Caenorhabditis elegans: one gene and its partners. The protein of the gene in region 3 interacts with the protein of the main gene of each other region in a pairwise test. Each region holds a gene or a part of one and is shown on either strand. Other genes may lie near its edges.

Region 1 (8,851 bases), 8.6 Mb from region 3:
CGGCAGTTTTGGCAATTGCTGATTTATTTAAAATATTCGGCAATTGGCAGTTTTGGCAATTGCTGATTTATTTAAAATTTTCGGCAATCGGCAAGTTTGGAACTTGGTGAAATTGCCGACATTTCAATTGCCGAACAGCAATTACCACGTGCCTGATTTTTGGAAGTTTCGTAAACTATATGTTGGCATAGCGGGGCTTTCAACAGATTGATCATTTCCATATTTGAATTTAGAAAAACGTTACGATTTTTTTGACGTATTTTAATATACTTCGGCTATCAATTTGCCAAAAATTGTTTTGACAATAGTCGATTCCTTTCCATACTCAAAATGTTTATAACAACATTAAATTTGTTCAGCTTTATTTCTAATATCACCCAATTTTTTTCAACTAAGCTGTCTGTTTCAACCCGTCCTTCAACAGCTGCATTTTTTGTCCAGTTACAAGATGTTTTCTTTTCCACTACCAGTGTTACCACCGCTTGCTACAAACGGCAAAAAATTTGAAAACTGACTAGAACGCGAATTGGTACCAACACATAAGGTCAGCAAACAAAAACCCTCGCCACTACGCCATGTCCCTTTCGTAACTCCGCCCATGTCGCATATAAAAGACGGTTCAAACTGAACACTAGCACACTAGTTGTCTACAAATTACCAGCTATTTTCCAAGTAGAGAAAAGTTTCTAATTACCCATCATGCACAAATGTGGTGACTAGAGCCTATTCTCTTCTTGGAAAAGTGGCGACTCTTGTCAAAAGTATTATCTGATATTCGAGCACGATGACCCCGTCCAATGGACGATATCACAGCAATCACAATGAGAAGAATACATCTAGATACTCTTTTCATTGGTTTCTGTGAAATCGTATTTGAATGGAAAGTTTTATATTGAAGAGTTAGGAACACACACACACCCAATTCAAAACAACACCTGTGAATATGGTGGTGCGCCAAAGGAAATTTGTGGCGGTTGTTTGCCATCGCACGCTTCAAATTTGTCGAAACGATGGAGTGGTGAACTTAAAAAAAACGGAAATCTTAAACCGCCAAAATCAAAGGAAAAAAGTGCACGGAAGTTCCGAAGCCTTATCACAAAAATTTATCACATGAAATTATACCAAACAGTCAAAATTTTCACCTTCACGAGTGTTTTCATCAGTGTTTCAGTTGCTTGCCATGTAGTTAATCATGTAGTTACTTTGAGATTCTTTGTAGTTTTTTTTTTAATTTTTAGATTTGTTTCTATAACACATCACGTTTTGATCATAAGCGTTTAATGAAAAATTTGTTAGGAAGATAAAACTGGAGTGATAAAATAACTGCCAAGTTTTAATTGTGTCTTTCTATTGAACATGTAACAAAATAGGAACGTTCACATTTTCGCTGTCACTAGTGAGGACAAAAGTTTTTTATAAAATTTTTACCTAGTTCCAACTATTTGATGTTTCAATTTTTCTTCTACCCGTTTATACATTTAGCTTTTTGTTACCTCGAAATGTCTGTTTGCTTTGTCTTCAAACACTTCTGATTTTACTTTTTTCTTACTTTGATCACTGATCAAAAAAGATATTTCTTGCACGCCAACAGAGTCAGGAGAGAAATTCAAATTTCTGTCGGCACGACAAAGGTCGCGGTTCCCATGAATCATTAGAACACGAATGACCTCAAACTCTTCTATCTGTGCAATGAAATAGTTTTAACATGATGTCATGATAAAAAGTACTTTTTTGAAAGCGGAAAGTTGGTCGGCCCTATCAAAGATGAGATAGAGGATGAAACGATCTGTAAAAAAGCAGCTGTAGATAAAAGTACTGAACATGTATGTGTGTATTGTGAAGTACAATGACTACGACTAAAGAACTTAGAATTCCAACTTACAAGATGCGCTTTAAAATTATCAATCCGAATAAAAAGCGTTGCAACAAAATTTCAGAAATCAGCAAGTGTCGAAGGAATTTTTTTCGTAATTTTTGAAATTTCTAGAAATTTTTTTTGGAGTTCTTCAAAACAGTTCTTCAAAAATTTCTCGAGCGTTTTTGTACTGTTTAAGACAGAGATTTCTAATACTTTTGACTCTCCAATATTATTTCAAAGCATAACAACTTACTTTTTTCAAAGTTGCCTACTGAACACCTACACTACACTACCCTAATTCATTCTACTAATTTTAACCATTAACCTTTCAAAACACAACAAAAACTCTTTAAAAAAACAGATACTACATACAAAGGAGACAAACTATTATTTTATATCCAAGTAATACAATTCAAATTTTTGGAAATTTTGTAAGTTTTCGTTCTTCAAGCAGAATAAAAGTTTTCTGATATTTCTGCAGTTGATGGAATTTGAACATTTGTTTTGAAATTTCATCTTAAATATTAGTATATGTATGTATGTGAAAAGAGTAGCTTTGCTACCATCATAATCTGTTGGAAAATGGTCTTTTACACATCAAAAAGTTTCTATCATTTTTGTATTGTATGTATTCATAATGTAAATTTATTACTCAATAAATAATTATTTAGTGAAAGAGAAAGGATTGATGAACTGAATTATCATGTGCTCGAAGATAGTTTATAAAATACACAGAATGACACATAATAAACATATAGGGTATGAAAAATAAAATATATACGAAGGGCGATGAATCAAAAATCAAGTGTGAAGAGATAGAGTCAGTGATGAGATGAAAAATGTGTTGAGGTTGAGTTGAATTGCACAGGGGGTGAGTCTAAATTAGTAATAAGGTGTTCACATGTTCTGCGCTTGAGCCGACGCATTCAAGTTTTGCTGTGCCTGAAGTGTACCAAAACCGAAAAGAAACCGCGCGGCGGCAGTTGCAGAAGCATCCATTGGAGATGAAATCATATTTCTCATGTTCACACCAGCACTGGTCGTTGGGATCGTAAGGATTCTGAAATATAAAATTTAGAATTAATTTCATGAAACAGTAAACTCACGGAGATGTAAGAGCTGTGGTTGCTGGAATCGAAAACACATTAGCTCTATGCATCTGCAGGGAAATGTTCGTGTCATCAGTCTGAGCTTGTCTCTTGAACTTGTTTCGTCGATTTTGGAACCAAATTTTCACTTGGGTCTCCGTCAAGTGCAGCTTCTGTGCTAAATTTGATCTCTCTTGACTGCTCAAATATCTTTTGCATTCGAACATCATTTCCAATTGGGACACCTGAATGAAAGTATTATTTGAGTTCGGAATGTACAATTTCTGATACCTGACTCCTGCTGAAGACGGTTCTGGTTTTCTTCTTTCTATTTTGTGATGGATCGCTAGAGTTGGCTTCATCATCGCTTCCACGGCCAACTGAAATACAGTTTATGGACACTTTTGTGGACACATTTTTAAATTCAACTCACTATCATCGTCATCTTCTGCGTCAGACTCCAGCGGGCTGCCACCAGTGGAATCCCTGGTCTCCCCATCTTTTCCCTCCGATTTTTCATCCTTCTCTTCTCCATTGTCTGATTGAATATTAACATCTGTAAGGAAACACATTTTCAACAATTACTTAATTCCTGACAGGCATATTAACCATATTGCATTAAGATACTTCCATTGACAGGCCACAATTATAACACATCCCCCCGTGGTCCATCGGTTAATTATCTCAATGGACGGGGGATTACTAGGACACGGGTGTCGGTCAAAATGACACCTTTATAAATAGATGTCTCTATATTAAGAACTACCTTTAGTTTTCAATACTGATTCTTCGTTGACTAATTAGAATCTCTTAAAAACCGAAGTGTAGCCGCTTACGTTACGAATATTGACGACTAAAAATGTGCGCTCATGCGTATGCCTGATTTTTCATGCGAAATGGAAAAGGCTCATTAGAATAAGAGATTTCTATTGCTGTTTTGATCATTTCACATGTTATCAAAAACAAATCAGTGGCAAAACCACATGTATCAACAGAGTCAGCGTAATAAAACAGCGTGATGATGTTATTTTACAATACGCTGATTTGCTTTGCCAAATCAACTGAGCGGAAAACTTAATGGCTTAAAGTTGGACCTGTGAGGGGAAATAATTAATCAGCATTTTTGTAATGTTAAAATGGCTTAATATCAAAATAAAACTGTTTTTAAAAAAATTTTGAGCCAAAAATTAGGTAAAAGCGGACTATGAGTTTTCAATGTTCTTTGACTAAAAATAAATTTTATTTAAAACATTTTTGAAATGTTTTAGTATGACATTTGGTAATTCCCTACAGGCCACATTTCATTATTAAAAACTTTGAATCTGAAAAAAAAAGTTGTTTCTCTATAATTTTTAATTGAATGTATTTATTTTTAGAATCAAAATAAAAGTCAAGGACCTGACACGCGTCACCGAGCTCATGGGGTTTAGTATTCTCACGTTATTAACTTATTGCTGTTTGAGCACATCCTTTCAAGAATCAATGAATACCGCGTGTGGTGTTACCCAACAAAAGATAATTAGTTGAGTTCAACACAGGCGAGCGATTCTGATTCTTATCCTAAGAAAGGAACTGCATCCGCCGACAACCTCCCCCCTCCTTTTTCCATATGTTCATCCAATACCGTTGTTCAACTTGTTAATGAGTCCAGACTTGGCTAATTCGAGACCATACAATAACAATGGGTCAGAAAATGAATTAGTTACTGTATTAAGGGGTGTTCTGAGATTCGGAGAATAAAGAGAACCGACCGAAAATTATAGTGGTAAACGGAACACTGTTTTGAATGAAATGAAATATGGTAGGATTCTTTCACACATTAACTAATGACAGACTAAGGAGAGAGGAAGTTGGGTAATATCTACTGACCTGGGTTGCTCATGTTTTTGAAGTGCATTAGTTGAGCAGTCGGAAGTCCAAAGAATGGGAACATGGTAAGTGGTGAGATCATGTTTTGTTGATTGCCGACGTTCAAGAAAGTTTGCTGAAGTTGCAGGAGGGCAGAAATCGGATTCATTTTTGGATCAAAATTGAAATTAAACGCCGTTTGCTCAATTTCATTGGTGCTATCCTCTGAAGATGCCGACGGGGAACTTTGTGTAGTTCTGAAAGTTTAATTTTATACAAATAAAAGGAAAATAAATGAAAATGTTCAACTTACGGTTTTCTGTCATCTTCCAGCAACTCAGAAATATTGAATTTAATCTTATTATCTGAACTTGGCTTCATCTCTTCTTCCTCTTCTTCCTCCATCAGTTCAATCTTTGGAAGTTGTGACATTTTTTCGAGACGTTCTTGCGAGCTCATTGTCGTCATATCAATAGGGAGATTCATAACTGAAGTCGGCATGTTTGAGAAAAATAGAGTCAACTGAGGGCTAATCGAGAATACTAATGAGTAGCCCCGCCCCACCATTCAAGACTACGGTAGCTGGGCGAGCGTTCGCGGATAAATGGGGTGTAGGAAATGGGAAGGAGAGGAGTAATAATGAAATGATGACCAAGTCAAATTATTGTCTTTGGTAGTGTTAAGAAAACGGATATCAAAACTATATAAACAATGGTTGACCAATAGGAAAACGACTATGAATACAGTTGAGAGAAGTTTAGCAGAATCTGAGGATCTCGAAGAACTCCCTGCTTGCTTTTCCGCTAATGTGTTAAGTGATCAAGCAAAACAGAGATGTTTCTAGGCAATACGCCCTGTCCAACTTAATGTCTAATTCGTTTAAGTGGATTACTATGTTTGGTTAACACCATTAATCACAACAATTAACCGTTTTTTTTCCGCTGAGCGACTCTATCAATTGTTTCAAAATTGATGATCAATTGATTTTGTAATGTAGGTTCAATGTATATTCCAACGAGAATGCCAAAAAGCTAATCAGTTATGCTTTAAGCAAAACATTATTAATTTAAATATGAAATTCGAGATGTTAGTGGATCGTTGTTGCTATGCGAACGCACGGGTCAAGCAGCAGCTTATCCGCGGTTAGTGTCGAATTCGGAGTGCAAAAGGTAATAATGAGGAATGATGGAAACAGGAGAGATATCTAATATAGGCTCGATGAGCAAAACACTCAGGATCATTGTTCACTTGAAATGTGTTCGAATACCGTAACTCCTTGAATAGTACTGTACCACACTATTTGAAACGTTATATCTGTGTTCAGTATCAAAGATAAGAAACTACAAACCGCTAAAAAAAATTGACAAGTACTTTGTTCGTGTTAAGCTGGTAAAGATGGAAACTGGGTTGAAATCCTAATAGGGAAAATACGGTAAATGGTTTGATATTTTGATGTACAGGAAGTTGAAAAGAGTACTGCCAATATTGTGATGACATCTTTTAAACTACTTTTTTCCATACTTTCCAAAAAAATCATTTTTGGCTGAAAAAAGAACACTCGTATTACTGTTAATTTTCAGAATGGGGGTTTAATTTACAAATGAAAATTTTAGACGAGATTTCTGATACCTTAGAGAACCCATGCAAAACTGAGGGAAAAGAGATGAATCAAGAGTCGATGGAAGTGAATCGGAAACTATCACATGAAGTCTTATGAAGCTTGAAAAAAAGTTCGAAGCAAACAAGTAATCACGAAATGTGTTTTTTTTCCTGATTAACCCTTGAGAGTCCAATGACGAACATTTGAAAAAAAAATCAAGTTTTAGTTTTGATCAAACGCAAAATAAAACGAGTTGAGGTGAGCACAGCCGTATTGAATGAACGTCCACAGCTCCACCCACTTCCATGATATACGGTAATTGGGACCCAAGACGCTTACCCGCCCGCTCTCATGTGTTTGTGTGCGCGCTCGTTTGGTTTCAAATAGGGAGGGGGGAGAAAATAATTCAACACAATCTCATTAAAACCGGTAATAGTAAAATAAGGCGACGACGTATTTGTACAGAATAATATGGTCGAGGAAAAACATGCACACACGTAATGGCTGATAGTAGTGGCGTTCATAGAAATGAGCTGAAAATGAGCAGAAATGAAATGAAAGATGAGGATGAGAATGAGAAAATGGAATTGATATTTTCCACATTATTTCCCATTATTCTCTTAGAGGTTTTGTTATGTAAAACATCACAAAATGGATTTAATACGACGACTCACAACGTTCTCAAGCCAATGTGCAACACTGTAGAAGGTGTGAAATGTTGGTGTCTGTTGCTCACATCTAAGGAAAACGACACCGGAAGTGTTTGTCTAACAAATTTGTCCATTAGCGCAATCTGCCTTGTTTTAGTACCTATCGCTATAGTCATACGATACAGAATAATGGAATAAGTGACCTGTTGGTAATGTTGGGGCCAGATTGCGCAAAAACAACCGTTTTGGGAAACATTTCTTTACATCCGGTTTGCAATAGACACCTGCTAAATTGTAAGGTGCGAATGACCCGGAGGAGGAAATTCAAACTTGCTTCTGATGGGAAAATGTTGTGCTCTTCCCGACAGCCGTAAATCAATAATGGTTTGGTTCGCAACACACAAGTCTAAAGGAAGCGTGGAATTTATGAGTTTAAAAGTGAATCAAAGAGAAAGAACCGATGATGCGATTCAAAAATCTGCAATAATTTCAAATAGTGTGAAGGAGTCTTAGCTAGTGAATTATCGAATAAAAATACTTCTAATGTACAATCTTAAAACCTTGAAAATTAGGAAACGTTTTGGATCTTTGCGTAGTTCTACTTAAAATAACCCAAAAAGTCCAAATTTCAAAACGAGCCTTTTCGAAAAACTGCTCACGTTTTTTTGTATTGAATGCCAACAGCTAACCAAAATAGGGAATTTAGTCACTTTTGGTTACCTAAAACACAGAAAAAAAGCAAAGTTAATTATAAATTAAATAGAATCTGAAAAAAACCGCTGAAACACTAGGAAAATTATAAAAAATTGGTTGAGCCATTTAATGATTTATGCAACTTTTTATGAAACGTCTCGTACTGAAATTTGATAATTGTATTCCATTTTGAACATATGTTTTTCTTCTAAGATTAAGAATTTATACAATTTAAACAAAAAACTATGTTTTTTTCTATTAGTATTGCATGCAAAACGTTTTTGTTGGACTAATTTCGAGTGCAATAGTAATAGAGAATACGGCCAGTAGCTGTCTATACCAGCAGGAATCAAACTTATTTGAAGACGTCTCAATTCTATTTTAAAACTTTTTTTTCAGAGAGTACATTTTCTGCAAGACGGCCTTTGGCACAAGTCAAATGTGAACTCAAACGTGTTAATAAAAATCAAAGAACACCGATCACTCGGTGTGTAAATTATTCACCGACGGGAGGTGTCAACGAGTGTTGTGCTGCTAAAGGTTTCGAGATACAATCTCTAAGTAAAAAAAACAAAGCACGTGGTAATGTGGTCTGAGATACAGCTGTGGTCGGTTTCGCCTTTCGATGTATTTTATATGGAAACAATGAAGCATATACTAATTAATTAGGGGTCTGTGTAAGTGTGGTATGTGATATGAGCGAAAAATATTGAAACATGGATTTTAAGTTTACTCAAATCATTTTCTGATTTTTTTTAAATTTAATAATAATAATAAAATATGTATGGGCATGTTCAGTTTTAAAAACTGTTCTCCTTTTGTTTCCTGGTATATGTCTCATATTGTGCAGTTGTAGTCGGTTTGGACTAACATGCTTATATTAATTCATTGTGACTTTACAAGTCAACAGTTTGAAAAGCGTCATCTTTGCAGCTCAATTACTTAAAAGGGTCGTGTTATTGGAATGAGATGTGTGTGGATGGTGTCTGCATGCGCATACTGGATAAACGTCAAATTAGCAATATGGTTAACAATAATGGACTAAGAAAGACGTATATATTCTTCTCTTCAAACATCCCACATTTTCGTTGATGAGCACTGGTAGGTTAAAGGG
Region 2 (6,724 bases), on a different chromosome or scaffold from region 3:
ACGGAAAGACACCACTTTACGTGGCAGTTGAGAATAGCTCATTGGAAGCTGTTAAGATACTTGTTGAAGCGGGTGCAGTTATTAATGCTTCATGTAAGAAACAACTTCTATCAACTTTCTTGACGAAGAATTCAGGCGGCTCAACATTAGAAACAACGCTTCACGAGGCTGTTCGCCGTCAAAATACTCAAATTGTTGAATATCTTTTATCGAAAGGTGCCAGCATCAAAATTCGAAATATTGCTGGAAAAACTGTCGAAGAAATGGCTAAAAGTGATCCGAAAATTAGGAAAATAATCGAAAAATTCAAGACTGAACAGAGAGTTTTACAGCCTGGTAAGAAATTTTTTGACAATTTTATTCTTCGTGATAAAAATTGAATTTTCAGTCGTCGCCCCTCCAAAATCTCGTCTTCATTTCGTTCAACTCATAGATGAGAAGATGCTCACTGAATCTGAAAAACGAAAACTTCCCGGAAAAATCAATGTAAAAACAATTAATTTTTAAAAATAAAATAAATTTATTCAGATAGTTCCTGCTGATATGGATTCTCCGACGCATGTGGTAGTCACCGTTGATTTGAAAACTCGTGTGCTCAATATTAACAAGGAGCATATTGGAGAAATTTTAAAAGCTATCATAAAGTAGGTTTTTAAAATTATCCTAAAAAGTGGGAGATAGTCATTTTGGGATTTTTAATGTCAGAAAATAGACCGTAATGACAGACTATAGCTGTTAAGAAATTAATTTTTTCGAAATTTTTCAAAAAATGGGCTACTTATTTTTAAATTCTCGCGCAAATAAATGGAAGGCATTTGTTCGTAAGAAAACGCATGATAATCAGAAAGAAATTCGCTGAAACTTCAAAATTGAATTGAAAGTCGATAATTTCACATTTATTCATCTTTTTTTTTGCTTAAAAAATTTATGAAAATCTGACAATCTTCGGAACATCAAGCAAAAATCACGAAAAGCGTTCGAATTTAGCCATTCATTTGCACGAGAGTTCAAAACTAATCAGAACTTATTATTTTTCCAAAGCTGAAATAATTTTTTAACAGTTATATTCGGTAATTATGGTCTATTTTCTATCATTCCTTCAAATCAGGTCGCAATGCATTACATATTTATTGGAGATAAAAAGATAATTAGGCACGAACACAGGCTCCTGCCACACATTTTTTTCCAACTGGACAGTCAAAAGTACAAGGTTCATCAGCATTTTCGTCAGTGATAACAACTCCACCACTTGCATGATTTGAAAAAAGACATTGTCCATAAACACAAAGCCTATTATCCGAGCAATCCGAATCAGTTCGACATTCTGCTTTCTTTGCATTAACATAAATTGAAAGAAGAAGAAGAAGGAAACACTGCAAAATTAGTTTTGAATATTAGCAAAAGTAGTATATAACTCACCAGAAACACCTTCATTTCAGTTTCACAGTGGCTCGATTGTATTATAAAATGCGTTTCCCTGTCTAGTTATAGACTGATCCCATGGGAAAATTGCAAACAATCGCAAGGGTGCAGTATGAGAGCCAAAAAAATCTATGTGAAAATATGAAATTTCAAAGCGGAAATTCATACTTTCAGATCGGGAATGATAGTTAGTCGAGATTGGCTGAGAGCGTGCATTATTGATCCATCGAAAGTCGATGATGATCGTTCTTATATGGTTCAGAAAGTTAGATGGATGGAAGGTGAAGTATTTGAAAATACTATTGAACAATGGAAGAAGACAATCACTAAAATGGTACGGATTTGATTTCCACTAAAGAAAAAAATACAACCAAATTTTTCAGCAACCAAAATTGTTCGCCGGTTGCAAATTTTTCATTCCAAAGCCAAAGTATAACTTCCTCGGTACGATTCTAATTTACAGTATTTTAATTTTTTCAATTTTCAATTTCAGATCGCCCAGCTCTTTTTGAAATTATTCGATCTGCCGGTGGTCAAGCTGCAGCGAGGGAGCCCATTATTGACGAAAAAGATCCACCGCCGTACCATAATGCCAACTTGAAACCAAACTTTGTGCTCTACAGCTTGACACATGATGTAAGTTTAACGAAGGAGTTTTCCTGTTATTATGGATTCGGTAGTTTCAGTTTGGTGACATTTTTATTTCTCTTTACAGATAGGAGACAAATTCCGCGACTGCACAAAGTACAATCTTGTCAGCGAGCAGTGGTTAATAGAGGCGATTCTTGGATGCTCCATCACAACACCACCACATTAACCATTTTCCGTTTTAAAATATTTTCTTTTGCGTTTCTATTGTAAAATTGCAATATGAATGATTATTTTTTGAAGTGTTATTTTATACACAACGGCATCCAATCCATGCAATTAAAGTTATGATGTAATTAAAATCGAGAACAAGATATAAATATAAGTTATGAGATCATATTAATTAAAAACAATTTACCGGCTTAAAACAAGAAAATTACAATTGAGTTATACAATTTACAATGATACAATTTACATTAAGAAGAATCTACACCATTCGTTTCCTGTACCTTTAATTTTCTTTTTTGATATTTGTTAACGGCAGTGACTGGACGAGTCTCATTATATTTCCGTTGATAAATAAAACAAGCATTACATTGAATTCCTTCCTTTGATCGAATATTCCTCCAACGAATTGTTTCAGTTACTGAACAATTTGAGCATTGAAATGACTTCTTATTATCAGAATTGCTCGGTGGAGTTGAACTTTGAGTAGAGGTAGATGGAGATGTAGATGGAGTAGAAAAATGAGTAAACGTGGTGAAATGGGAAGAATTAGGACTTCCAGTAGTTGGTGAAATATTTAAAGATGAAGAATCCATTGCAGTTGGATAATAAGAAGCATAAGTATTGACATAGTCATAGTAGTTATTATAATAAGAATAGTCAGTAGTGAAGGAGTATGTACCATTGAATGGAGTTGAATAATCATAGAATCCAACTTGTTGCTGGGTATTGTCAAAGACATTTTCAGCATTGAAAACTGGGTACGGATAAGCCATAGTGATAGAGAGAAGGAATAAAGTATGAATACTGACTCAAACTGATATTCTTTGGGCTCTTTTACTGTAGACCACACCCACTAGAAATGATGATAATGCTCTAAAAATCATCATGATGACAGAGGTGCAAGGTGGTCCTTCTTTACCTATTATCAGATAATGTAGGTGAAGATGGGCTCATTGTGCAATAGGTGGAGATGTTAACATTTCTCTAGGAAAGCAGGTGAAATCAGGACATGTTTCAGCCAACGTCTACAATATAAACCTTTTATGTATTTGTTTTCGGGCGGAACACAGCATGGCTTTTACTCGGAGAAAAGGAATCATATCAACGTGCCTCAAGTGTTGCGTGATTACTTGGAAATTGAGAATTGAATGGATAAATAAATTTTCCAAAACAATTTTGTATATGAATGAAGTGCTAAGGTTTTTTTAAAATTAAATTGCGTAAATGTTTTCAAGAGGGCCTACGCCTGCTTCATACCTACAGCAAGACTAAATTTGTTCGTTGTCATAATGAGATTTTTATAATCATCTAAAATGCTCTTCGAATTTGGGAATATTAGTGAATTCTAACAGTTTTACGTACTTTGGCATGTTTATTTTCTCACACTAACAAAAGTTTTATACAAGTATAAAAATATGATATAACAACTAAACAAATTTTTATTCGATGCAGAGAACATAGTTCAGATGAAGCAGAGGTGGAACACAGTAACCGTTTTTATACAAATATTTTTTGTCCCAGAGATTATGAAAATGAAGGGGGCTTTTCGTTGACAATTGAGTTTGAAACAAAACAAAAAGTTGAAATAAAATCTACACCCAAAAGGGAATCACATGTTTTCCTGTTCTACCAATATATTGAAATTCTTCATACCAATAGTAGTGCCAGAGGATGTAGTCAAAGAAATGATTGATTGATGTTCCAACGGCAAAATATAAAATCATCAGGTTCAGGTGAGCATTAACAGGATGGAACAGGGCAACCAGGAGCTGAAATATTTTAAGATTGCTCAGACTCCAGAATTTGAACTTTCCACCTAAAGGTAGTTCTGATATTTATCTAATAGATCAAAGAGTCTAACGAGACTTTTAAACAATTTTGATCATGAAAAAAACGACGACTTTCTTCCAGTTTTAATGCCCTGCTAGAAGACATAAACTGGAAACCTTACCTTATCTGCCGTTGCTATTGTTAAAATTACTAATCCAAAACAATACGCATTTTGAATTATTAACATCGGCCATAACAGTAAAGGATGTGGTTTTGGTATACATAGTGTTGTCCCTGTAAACGTGAAGGTTCAGTTAAAAATTTTGGAAAGGCTGTGATCGATAAACTATGGCATAGGAATAGGACCGTTTCTTAGCAGTGCCGGGCAACGACTAATTGAAAGAATCTATATCGGGAACTTTGGAAGTAGGCACGAGGCAAGCCTAGGTCGCCCAGTAGGTAAGAAAGTAGGCAAGTTCATTGACACTCTATGTTACTCTTCCCCTTGGAGCACTTACATATTGTTAAGGTCAATGCAATCATTTGAGTGAAACACCATAGACACCGCATATAGCCACCGTCTAAATAGTTTGCTATACATTCTTGGACCTGAAAATACTTGTTTGGAGAACCATCCAACAAAAAATGAACGAAATGTTCAGCTTACATTAATTAATTCGTGGAAAAGACCAAAGTCGAAAATAATCACGTCATGAGATAGAAAATGACCGGTATTGGAACGAGTTTCGTTGAATGAGCAATAGAATATCTGAATTAATGTAAACGATCAAGTCGGAATGTTTTTCAAGATTTTCGTTCTAGGAAACAAATGTACAAATGTATTTTGAAATTAATATGTCTACCCGGTAAAACAAAAAAGCAGGAGATCAGGGCTGGAATGTATGGGGTAGGTACAGAAGCTCTTTAGTTTGCTAAGCTTGTTTAGAGTCATAGAATGATTTTAGATTCTTCGGAAACTTATTTTAAAGTGTTTTTTGTTTTTCTTTCTTTTTTAAAATCTGATTTAAAAAATCCCCAAAAGATTTATAGGTAACGTGTGAAGTCATTCATCTTCCATCTACTGTTCCAACCAACCTTATTAAAAAGAGCAACTGAGTAAATGTGTTGAGCAAATGATACAGAAGCCACTACTAATTGAACCAGAGCAAAGAATGTGACCAGTTTTCGATTTCGAAATTGTATTCCAAACAGGAAAGTCTTCTCGTCTTCTACGTGAAACCATCGTAACATTTCTGATATATCACTGAAAATGATAGAGAATTTTACAACAAAAAGAAGAAAAGAAATTTCAGAGCAAATGGTGTCACACAGTGACAATGTAACAAAAAATGAGAAACATAAAAAATAGAATCACATGATATTAAAATTACACGCATAACTAGCTGCAATGCGTTGGCGAAGTGTACCAATTGCAGCTTATTTTCAACATTTCCTTACTTTTTCTCTTCTCAACGGAAATTCAAAAAATTTCCGGTAAGCTGGTGATAGTGGGGGAGATTTGACATTCGGATTAACACTTTTTTCATCATTTTTCGCATGATTTATCATCAAAGGGACATGACAGGATTACAGCTATCAGAATAGGATTTGTGTTGAAAAGAAGAAAAAAGGGGATTTGCAACAAGCTTTTTGAACAAATCTGAATGTTAGCATTGATGTCATCAGAGCATTGGTAAGATGTATCGAACGGAAACAAAATATTATGAATATGTGTTGAAGGCTTTTTAAACATCTTAAAATAATTTCTAATCAGTATTCCAAGGGAAAAATTTGGGAAAATATTTACAGGTGAAAAAAAGAGTCTATTGAACTTGCCGCTATGTTTCAATCCGATAACTGCTTACACAGCAAAATATCCGTGTTAAGTAGAGTTCGTGCATAGTATTATTGTAGGCATCAGATTACCTGCCCGCGTTTCTCGTGCCTAAACTACATGAAGCTGACGCCAAAACTCAGAAAATAGGCGGTAGGCAGGCGAAGGTAGTAAGTGTATGACTAACATAAAATTGTAGTCTATACAAAAATATGATAGAAGGTACAATCGGTATAACGGAATCGTATGATAAAAAGAGAAATTACTTCACTCTGGCAGACCATATTTATTTTGAAAATTCTGGAAATTACTCACTATCAGCTACAGAACCATCAAGGAACTAAAATACTTTTTCACCAAATAATTTTTGATAAAAGCATAGTCATAAGGTACCGGAGCAGTTAATGAAGTGCCTAATGATTATTTTATATCTATTTATTCATTCTTTTTTCCTTCACTTCACTGCTTTGTTGTAGTTGCATCATTATGATTGTTGCCTGATGAATAAATATAAAAATAAATAAATAAATAAGATTAAAGAAGAGTAATACAGGAGCTACACTAATGAGCAACAAGAAAATATATGTGCAGAAATCACCTTGGGATTTCAATATATATCACTACTTTTTACGTCACATACACTTTTGTTTTCAACCTATCTCGTTACCTATGACGACACGTATTCAGAAAATACTCTTCGAAATATTCACTCTGACAAAATTGTAGAATTACCGAAATCTATATCTTTGACCTAATCAGTTCAAAAACTAATATTTATAAAAAATAGGAAAACTAAATGAAATCCAATAAACTTTTCAATATAACGAGAACATGACGGAATAATCAATCAAGTTAAAACTCAATTTCTAGATATTAGTTTGA
Region 3 (6,975 bases):
CGACGTAGCAAGTCAAGGTGTATTCGGGGATCAACGAAACAACTGGACCAATATATGCTCTTTGATCACGTTGGGATCGAAATTGAAAGAGAATGAATTTTACATCCACCCTCATTTAATCTGTTGAGGGTGTGGATTAGTGTAAATTCCAAGCAATCAGATGACTGCCAAATAGGGGATAAGTTGGCTTAAAAATTAAGAAAAGCTTAGAAAACCACTTTCAAATAGATTAATATATTAACTTAATTGGTATAAAAATGCAATTTCTTTGCGCTCTAAAGTTTGGCGAAAAAACAAATCTTTGATTCATAGCCTTTAATAAATAAGTTTTCAGATTGCATTGAAACAATTAGAATCACATGGTTTAGACACAATTCAAAAATCCAGTCAAGATTGATTCATCCGCACTATAAAATAAAATATTTATAATCATTCACGAGCTTTGCCATAAAATATCTGTATCTAGAGTAGCAGTACTGAAATTGCAAATGGTGGCAAAACTAAGAGTATCCATATGTGTATTTGATTAACTTGTGGTACAATGCATAATTAGCAATGGTTTTGCTTGATTGTAGCGGTTAAATGCCGGTTTCACGAAACCTAAATGTGGTTAATCCAAGGTATATTCAAATATTAAACTTTTGTATTTTTTATTCCGTGTTTACCCGATTACATTCATTTTAGATTTGATTCATTCTCTCGATTCAAGAAAAAAAAACAAAGAAAAACAAGGATTTCTAAAAGAAAACCCAGCTCTATTTGAAATCTTTTTCCCAAATTCCTGGTAATGTACAGCACGGCGGTTTTATCTTTCCAGAGCTACTCCCTCGAAGAAATCTGAGTTGATCCAGAGAGATTAGTGGTTAACGTTTAGATAACACACTTGATCGAACAAGCCGCCACCACGCTGTTTTTCGGATTATTGATATATAGTTGTGATTTTCAACAGATTAGCAAAGGATTTTGTAAAGCTTATCGTCAGCGTGCTTTTTTCTTTTAATTTTTTGCACGAGCAAGACACCCACCCTCGCTTTGTGCAAATGACCCTAGTTCATTTGAACTATAATATTATTGAAATTTCCAATCAAAGTCCATATCACTAAATTCTGTAGATACTGTACAACATCCGAATTGTGAAATCTGATCGTTCTTGGCGCGAAATCATATTCACCCCCTACGTTAGCCCAAAGTACGATCACATTTCTATCGCAGTCGTCTAAAATCAAAATCAATTCAGGGTTCATTAAGTGAGCGTCGCATGACCTACGTGATAGAGCAATTAAACTGAAAAACCCAAACGTTCGATGTCTAAAAATATCATTCCAGAGAAATGAAATACATTTTCAGTAGACCTATGTGCTAGAAAATGTGGAAAAAATTATCATACCACCACCATGACTATTGACAGTGAAAAAAGAGATTTTAAAACTGCAAAAAAGTTTTAAAAATTTAGTTATTAAAGAATTGAATCTGACATTACTCCAAGTCTTACAGAGTTATGTAGCGTTATGTAGGGCGAAAATTTGAAATGATCTGTTGTTATAATTGTAGTGAAACATATATTTTGATGTTCTTCTTTCTTAGTATGATAATCTGCGATTTTTTGTAGGAACGAATTTATTTTTGGTTGAAAGTCAACGACTACAAGGAATTCGAATATATGTTGGCCGTTAATACATTTTTATTTTAGAGGAAGTTTGCCTTTTGACTCAAATTTTTTTCTGTAAAACAACAACACATGTTTAATTTGTTTACAACGTTTAGCTACAGTCCCCTAGGCCACACACTGCTGAAAGAAAAAAAAACAAAAGTAACTAACAAGTTTGGGGTCATAGTACACCAAGTTGTTTGTTTGCAAAGTTTTTTGCCTGAGTCTGTTCACTCCTAGAGGTGTACGGTACTGTTGACACCACCATACATCATTCGGAAGTAATTTGACCTACATTTTGAGCTCACTCAATGTTATCAGAGGTCTTTGTGCGTTGCACACATCACGATGCACGCACACTAAGTCAAGGCAGCCAAGGAAACAAAGTTTCGGGTATTTTTTGTCGTCAAGAAATGAACACGGCACGTGAAGGCGCATGTGAATGAGAGGATGCGTTGCACCCGACCGTCACCATCGAAATTAAAATTGAGCTACGCATTCTTTGAGTGTTTGCACTTTTTGACATCCCCGTGTTGCCATATTTGTGCTTCTCCCAATCAAATTGCTTCTTTGCTGACATCCTCAGAATTTCTTCCAAAACATTTGTTCCTTGTACCCTCTCAAGGAATGCTTCATCTTGATCCTTCCCACAAACGCATGCTACCCTTACGAGATCCCCGCAAGATTCACATGATTTCAGTGATCGGTTGACAAAATGGGGGAAGGCTATAACCTTCTGCTCCAAAACATGGGCGGAGCTACAGAGCTTATATCAAAGAGCGCCACTTCTCCGGGCACCCTAGCACCCACAGTGGCTGAGGTGCAAAGAACACACGCTGACCGCGTGTTGGAGGCGGCGCGTCGACTCCTCCCTTTCTGTCAGACAGAACGCCCCTTTTCCTATATCTTCCTTCTCGCATTGCAGATCATACCACAGTTAACGACACCCTCGAAGATGGTCGCATGGCTCTTTTACATATTTTTTGTTTAATTGTGTATTTGTTTTTGTTTGTGATAATTTTCACTTACAGTATTCTTATATAACCTTCTCTTAAAATTGATATTTCATTGCTATATATATTAAATTTACAGTCAACATCTCTACCATGTCCGCAATCGTTGAAGACATGTACTTGCTTTCTTCATCCATGAAAATGGAAAAACAATTCCGCAAACGCCATCACTCGGATTCTTCCGATGTAAGTTAAACTTCTGTTGTACCCTTATTTTACTAATTGTTCTTTTTCCAGGACGATTCTTCAAGCCCGAAGTCGGCTTCTCCATCCATGGATGATGACCGTCGTGCACATCACAACGAACTTGAACGCAGAAGACGTGACCATATCAAAGATCACTTCACCATTCTTAAGGATGCCATTCCACTGCTTGATGGGGAGAAATCGTCGCGAGCCCTGATCCTGAAACGAGCAGTTGAGTTCATCCATGTCATGCAAACTAAGCTCAGTAGTCAAGGAAAAGCCATTGAAGATCTCACAAGGAAAAACGAGCTTCTTGAGGAAAGGCGTAAGTTACATGGATATCTAGTGGATTCATGAGCTCAATTTCTAATTTTCAGTGCTCGAACGCGAGTCTTCCGGTTCTCCATCTTCCTCTCGGCTTCCAGCTCTTGCTGTTAGCTCAAGCCAAATGCAGCTCACCATGCCAATTATCCCACAGATGCAAAACATTGCACAGCTGTCTCAATACCCACAACAAGCAAAGTAAGTAAACAAATAAATTGTTCCGAATCTGATTTTAACAATTAAGTATTTTCAGTATAATTGCTCAATCCACAAACCCAGCTCAATTAGATGGGCTTATTGCTCTTAACAATGATGCCATCTTGGCTTTACTCGGAAGCTTTCAAAGCGTGAGCCCATCGCTTTTGGATTCTGCACCTGGTACTCCACCTTCTGGCTTTTATCCTTGTGCATTTTCTCCGGTTGATCAACAAATGGCAGTGAAAATCTAAAAACCTTCAAAAAGGCTTTTTTATTTCTTAGATACCCCCACCCTTCGAATTCTCTAATATTTTTTGATCTCATTTACTCGGTCGTCATGAACCCTTCTTCGGACATTCCAAACATCCATTCGGTTTCTCCGGACATACATGGGTTTCACGTGTACTTTAAGAATTGCCTGCTTGATCTGACAATATATTATTTCAGTTTTTTTTACTCACTGATTTGTTCCAGTTATGATATCTTATTTATTGATAATGCCGATAATAAATACTGATAATAAATATTTATATCAACATTTTTTCAACACCAGTAAAACACATTGCAAAAAATTAAAATTTATAAAGGCACCCAATAGAAAGTCTTTCAGCTACCGTAGTTCTTTGCTGCAAAGTAAACAGGTTGTTACTTTTCTTGTCAACTTTATTTAATGGTCAATATACGCGTCAGTAGTCGTATACTTTAAGGATTTTTACAGAAAAAATATTTATGTCTATTCCTCTGGACTTTTGCATGGGGAAAAGATTTGGATTTTAGTAGTGGTCATTTTTATAGAATTGAAATGATGAAAACAATGCTTTTTACCACTTACAAATTAGAGTAACTATTTTCCATTATACATAACAGAGATCTGCGACAAATTTGCCGAAATTGCCCAGCAAGAGAAATTTCCAAAAAGTGGGTTTGCCAAATCTGCCGAGATCGGTAAACTTTGAAATTTGCCACACACATCACAAATTCGACTAACATAATTTGACCGGAACCATTGATTTTGCTCCAAAACTTCTAGTTAAGTAACATGTAAGCAAGACTTGTACGCAGATAGACCACACGGATCTTGTGAAAAAATCAAAAGTATGCTTAGAATTCACCATTTTTGGTGCCCCATACAATATCAAAAATTATCACATTTTTTCGAGCTTTTCCGGCAAATTTGCCGAATTTGCCGAGTTTGGCATATACTAGAAAAAAGAGCTCGGCAAATTTTCATTTTTGCCGCACACCCCTGGTAGATCTAAAAAAATCTGAATACACATAGCACTACATTGAAAGCCAAAAATCTTTGGAATAGGTTTGCTGTTTTGAAATAGGTCGTTTATTGCACTTTGCTCCTGCAATTCTAAACAAGCATGCTCTAAAACATGATATCAACTCAAAAAGTACACGGTACAGTGCTCTAACGTTTTGTTGTAGTCAAATCATATTTCATCACGTATCCAAAAAAAACCGCTCTATTCCACTTTTCTTTCTTTATAATGTGTGTTCTCTGAGGCCATTTCGTAAAACAATATGCGAGGCATATCATCACACGTGTCATCAAATGACTTGATGATATGATTGGTTCAAAATATCAAATGCGAGAATCGCATCGTAAGCCAACGGAAAAATAGTTGTTTCAATTCAAAACACACTTGAGAGAACGAGGACAGTTCACTGAACAACTCAACATTGAACCTTCAAGGAGGAATATCGAAGATCGCTGGGAGTTTGTCAATGAAATATGACGAATATGTTGTGATACAGATTTATCAAGTTTTGCAGTTGTTCTTATTTTCAAGAAAAAAAGCCTTCTGAGAAATTATATAAAATTTACGTTTTATGAGGACCGAATTGTTCGGGGAGAATCAAAAACTTTAGCATCTTTCCCAGGGTGCGCGGCAATAAGACATTTTTGGCAGATGGACATTTTGTCAATTCCTAAAATTAACAGGGTTTGCTAAGAATTGACAATTGTTAAAAAAAAAAACGTCAAAAGTTGTTAACTGCATAAGTTTCACAGTTACTTCTACAATAAATGATTCAGTTACGCTTTTTATAATTCAAACAAAATTTATTTAATAACTGAAATTATCCGAACAAATACAATACATGCGAAACAAATACCACAAAATTTCCCTTCTTCGCCGAAGAGAACAAAGTTTTGGCACAATTTGGAAAAGATTAAGGTCTAGAAACCGTAGAATGTCGATAAAAAAGTGACAGGAATGGTTGAAAATGAGATGTGGTGACATTTAGCTTACAGATATTTTTTGGAATAAAAGTTTACAATGAAACACTAAGGAAGAAATTAATTAAGATTGAGGGGAACAAAACCAATGGGTACCCGTGAACATGTCGGGGAGCATGTTGAGCATGACTTGCACGAAGAATGCGATGACAATACCCAACAGACAAAACACGTTGTTGGTGAAAGCCACTGATTCGAAGATGTTTATATGGCAGAACATAGTCGGCACGAAGACCGCAATAGAGCATATGACACTCTGCAAAAATTACAATTTTTAGGACTTGAAAAATTATGAAGAGATTGGTGAACTTGTTGCTACTTTTCTGTTTTTTTACGTGTTAACAGTTTTCAATAAGTTCCATCAAATTTGTGTTTCAGTGATGTAACATTCACAGTGAAACATCACACTTTGGCTAACCAAGTCACTAAGTTCAGCAGACATGATTTATCAGTTCTGGTAATCGTAATTTTCACATGTCTAGTTCCTGGAATCGAATCCTGCATATAGAATCACTTGCTCAGCTGCTGATGTTGTAGCACATGTGCGAGCAATTTATGACTAGTTATTTTTGCAGATTTCAGCAAAGTTCATTTATTACGATGTGTCTCTACTATGTGTTATGTGCGGGGCTGACAGAAAGTTCGATTTTTCTTAAAAATAATTATAATAATTTAAACAATTTTTGTGGATTTAAACATTTTCAACAATTGTTTAAGAAATTTCTTATCATGATTGAGACTAATTTTCAGAAAACCTCAAGACATATTTATGGGGTGTAAATCGTATTGGCTCTAAAAATGGGAAAAGCTATGAATTCTTCTAGAAAGAAGGAACATTTTTTTTTTGGAATGCAGGAGTAACTGTGGAGACAATCAGTTTCAGAGAATCCAGTTGTTTGCGAAAAGCTCGAGTCCCATAACTATTTGCTATCCCCCTCCTCAGTTTAATTTTTCAATTAAAATTTGTTATCATAATGTTCAAAACCCTACCGCAATGCACGGAAAGAAACACTTTCTCAGCATCTCGTTCATTCTGTCAACTTTTTTTGCTCTCAATTTGATACGCATTGCCTGCAACATAAAAGATTAAAAGATCTTGTCACAAATTGTATCACGTTTTTTAAAATCACCTGTTGATAATAATAGCAATAGTGCGTTGTACAGCTCGGTGCCAAGGCAGCAATAATCAGGAAAAATGCCGCATTGAAGGGATTGATAGTGACGTCATACAGGGAAACAGTTCCGATTGTTGCTTAAAATGTGCAATTTCATTAAACAATTAGAATTTCATTAATATTTATTACCACAATCTTTGAATAAAATAATCAATTATACTGTAATGTAACTAAATCAAATAA

What was found.
Region 1: the proteins of mxl-3 (region 3) and mls-2 interact in a two-hybrid assay, tested with the Caenorhabditis elegans proteins (one large-scale study listed by BioGRID).
Region 2: the proteins of mxl-3 (region 3) and med-2 interact in a two-hybrid assay, tested with the Caenorhabditis elegans proteins (one large-scale study listed by BioGRID).

Annotation. Positions count from the first base shown.
Region 1 is NC_003284.9:4,756,318-4,765,168, forward strand, and holds mls-2 (Homeobox protein mls-2), read right to left. Parts: upstream 5,324-8,851; 5' UTR 5,296-5,323; coding exon 5,108-5,295; intron 5,052-5,107; coding exon 4,816-5,051; intron 4,578-4,815; exon of another isoform or gene 4,379-4,577; intron 3,503-4,378; coding exon 3,380-3,502; intron 3,327-3,379; coding exon 3,238-3,326; intron 3,192-3,237; coding exon 2,965-3,191; intron 2,919-2,964; coding exon 2,756-2,918; 3' UTR 2,487-2,755; downstream 1-2,486. UniProt on the Caenorhabditis elegans protein: Transcription factor that binds to the promoter of target genes. Regulates fate specification and/or differentiation of multiple cell types arising from the embryonic mesodermal (M) lineage and the ABp(l/r)paa precursors.
Region 2 is NC_003281.10:6,880,790-6,887,513, reverse strand, and holds med-2 (GATA-type domain-containing protein), read right to left. Parts: upstream 3,012-6,724; coding exon 2,487-3,011; downstream 1-2,486. Other genes in the region: brd-1 (BRCA1-associated RING domain protein 1), read left to right, coding at 1-93, 136-336, 389-486, 529-644, 1,597-1,756, 1,806-1,866, 1,916-2,058, 2,138-2,239; K04C2.7 (Polyprenol reductase), read right to left, coding at 3,831-4,007, 4,190-4,302, 4,527-4,617, 4,676-4,777, 5,104-5,259.
Region 3 is NC_003284.9:13,346,570-13,353,544, reverse strand, and holds mxl-3 (Protein mxl-3), read left to right. Parts: upstream 1-2,740; 5' UTR 2,741-2,754; coding exon 2,755-2,847; intron 2,848-2,898; coding exon 2,899-3,172; intron 3,173-3,224; coding exon 3,225-3,369; intron 3,370-3,424; coding exon 3,425-3,620; 3' UTR 3,621-3,906; downstream 3,907-6,975. Other genes in the region: ptr-24 (SSD domain-containing protein), read right to left, coding at 5,682-5,873, 6,608-6,688, 6,748-6,869. UniProt on the Caenorhabditis elegans protein: Transcription factor which regulates the expression of genes involved in lipid metabolism in response to nutrient availability. Binds to the E-box motif 5'-CACGTG-3'.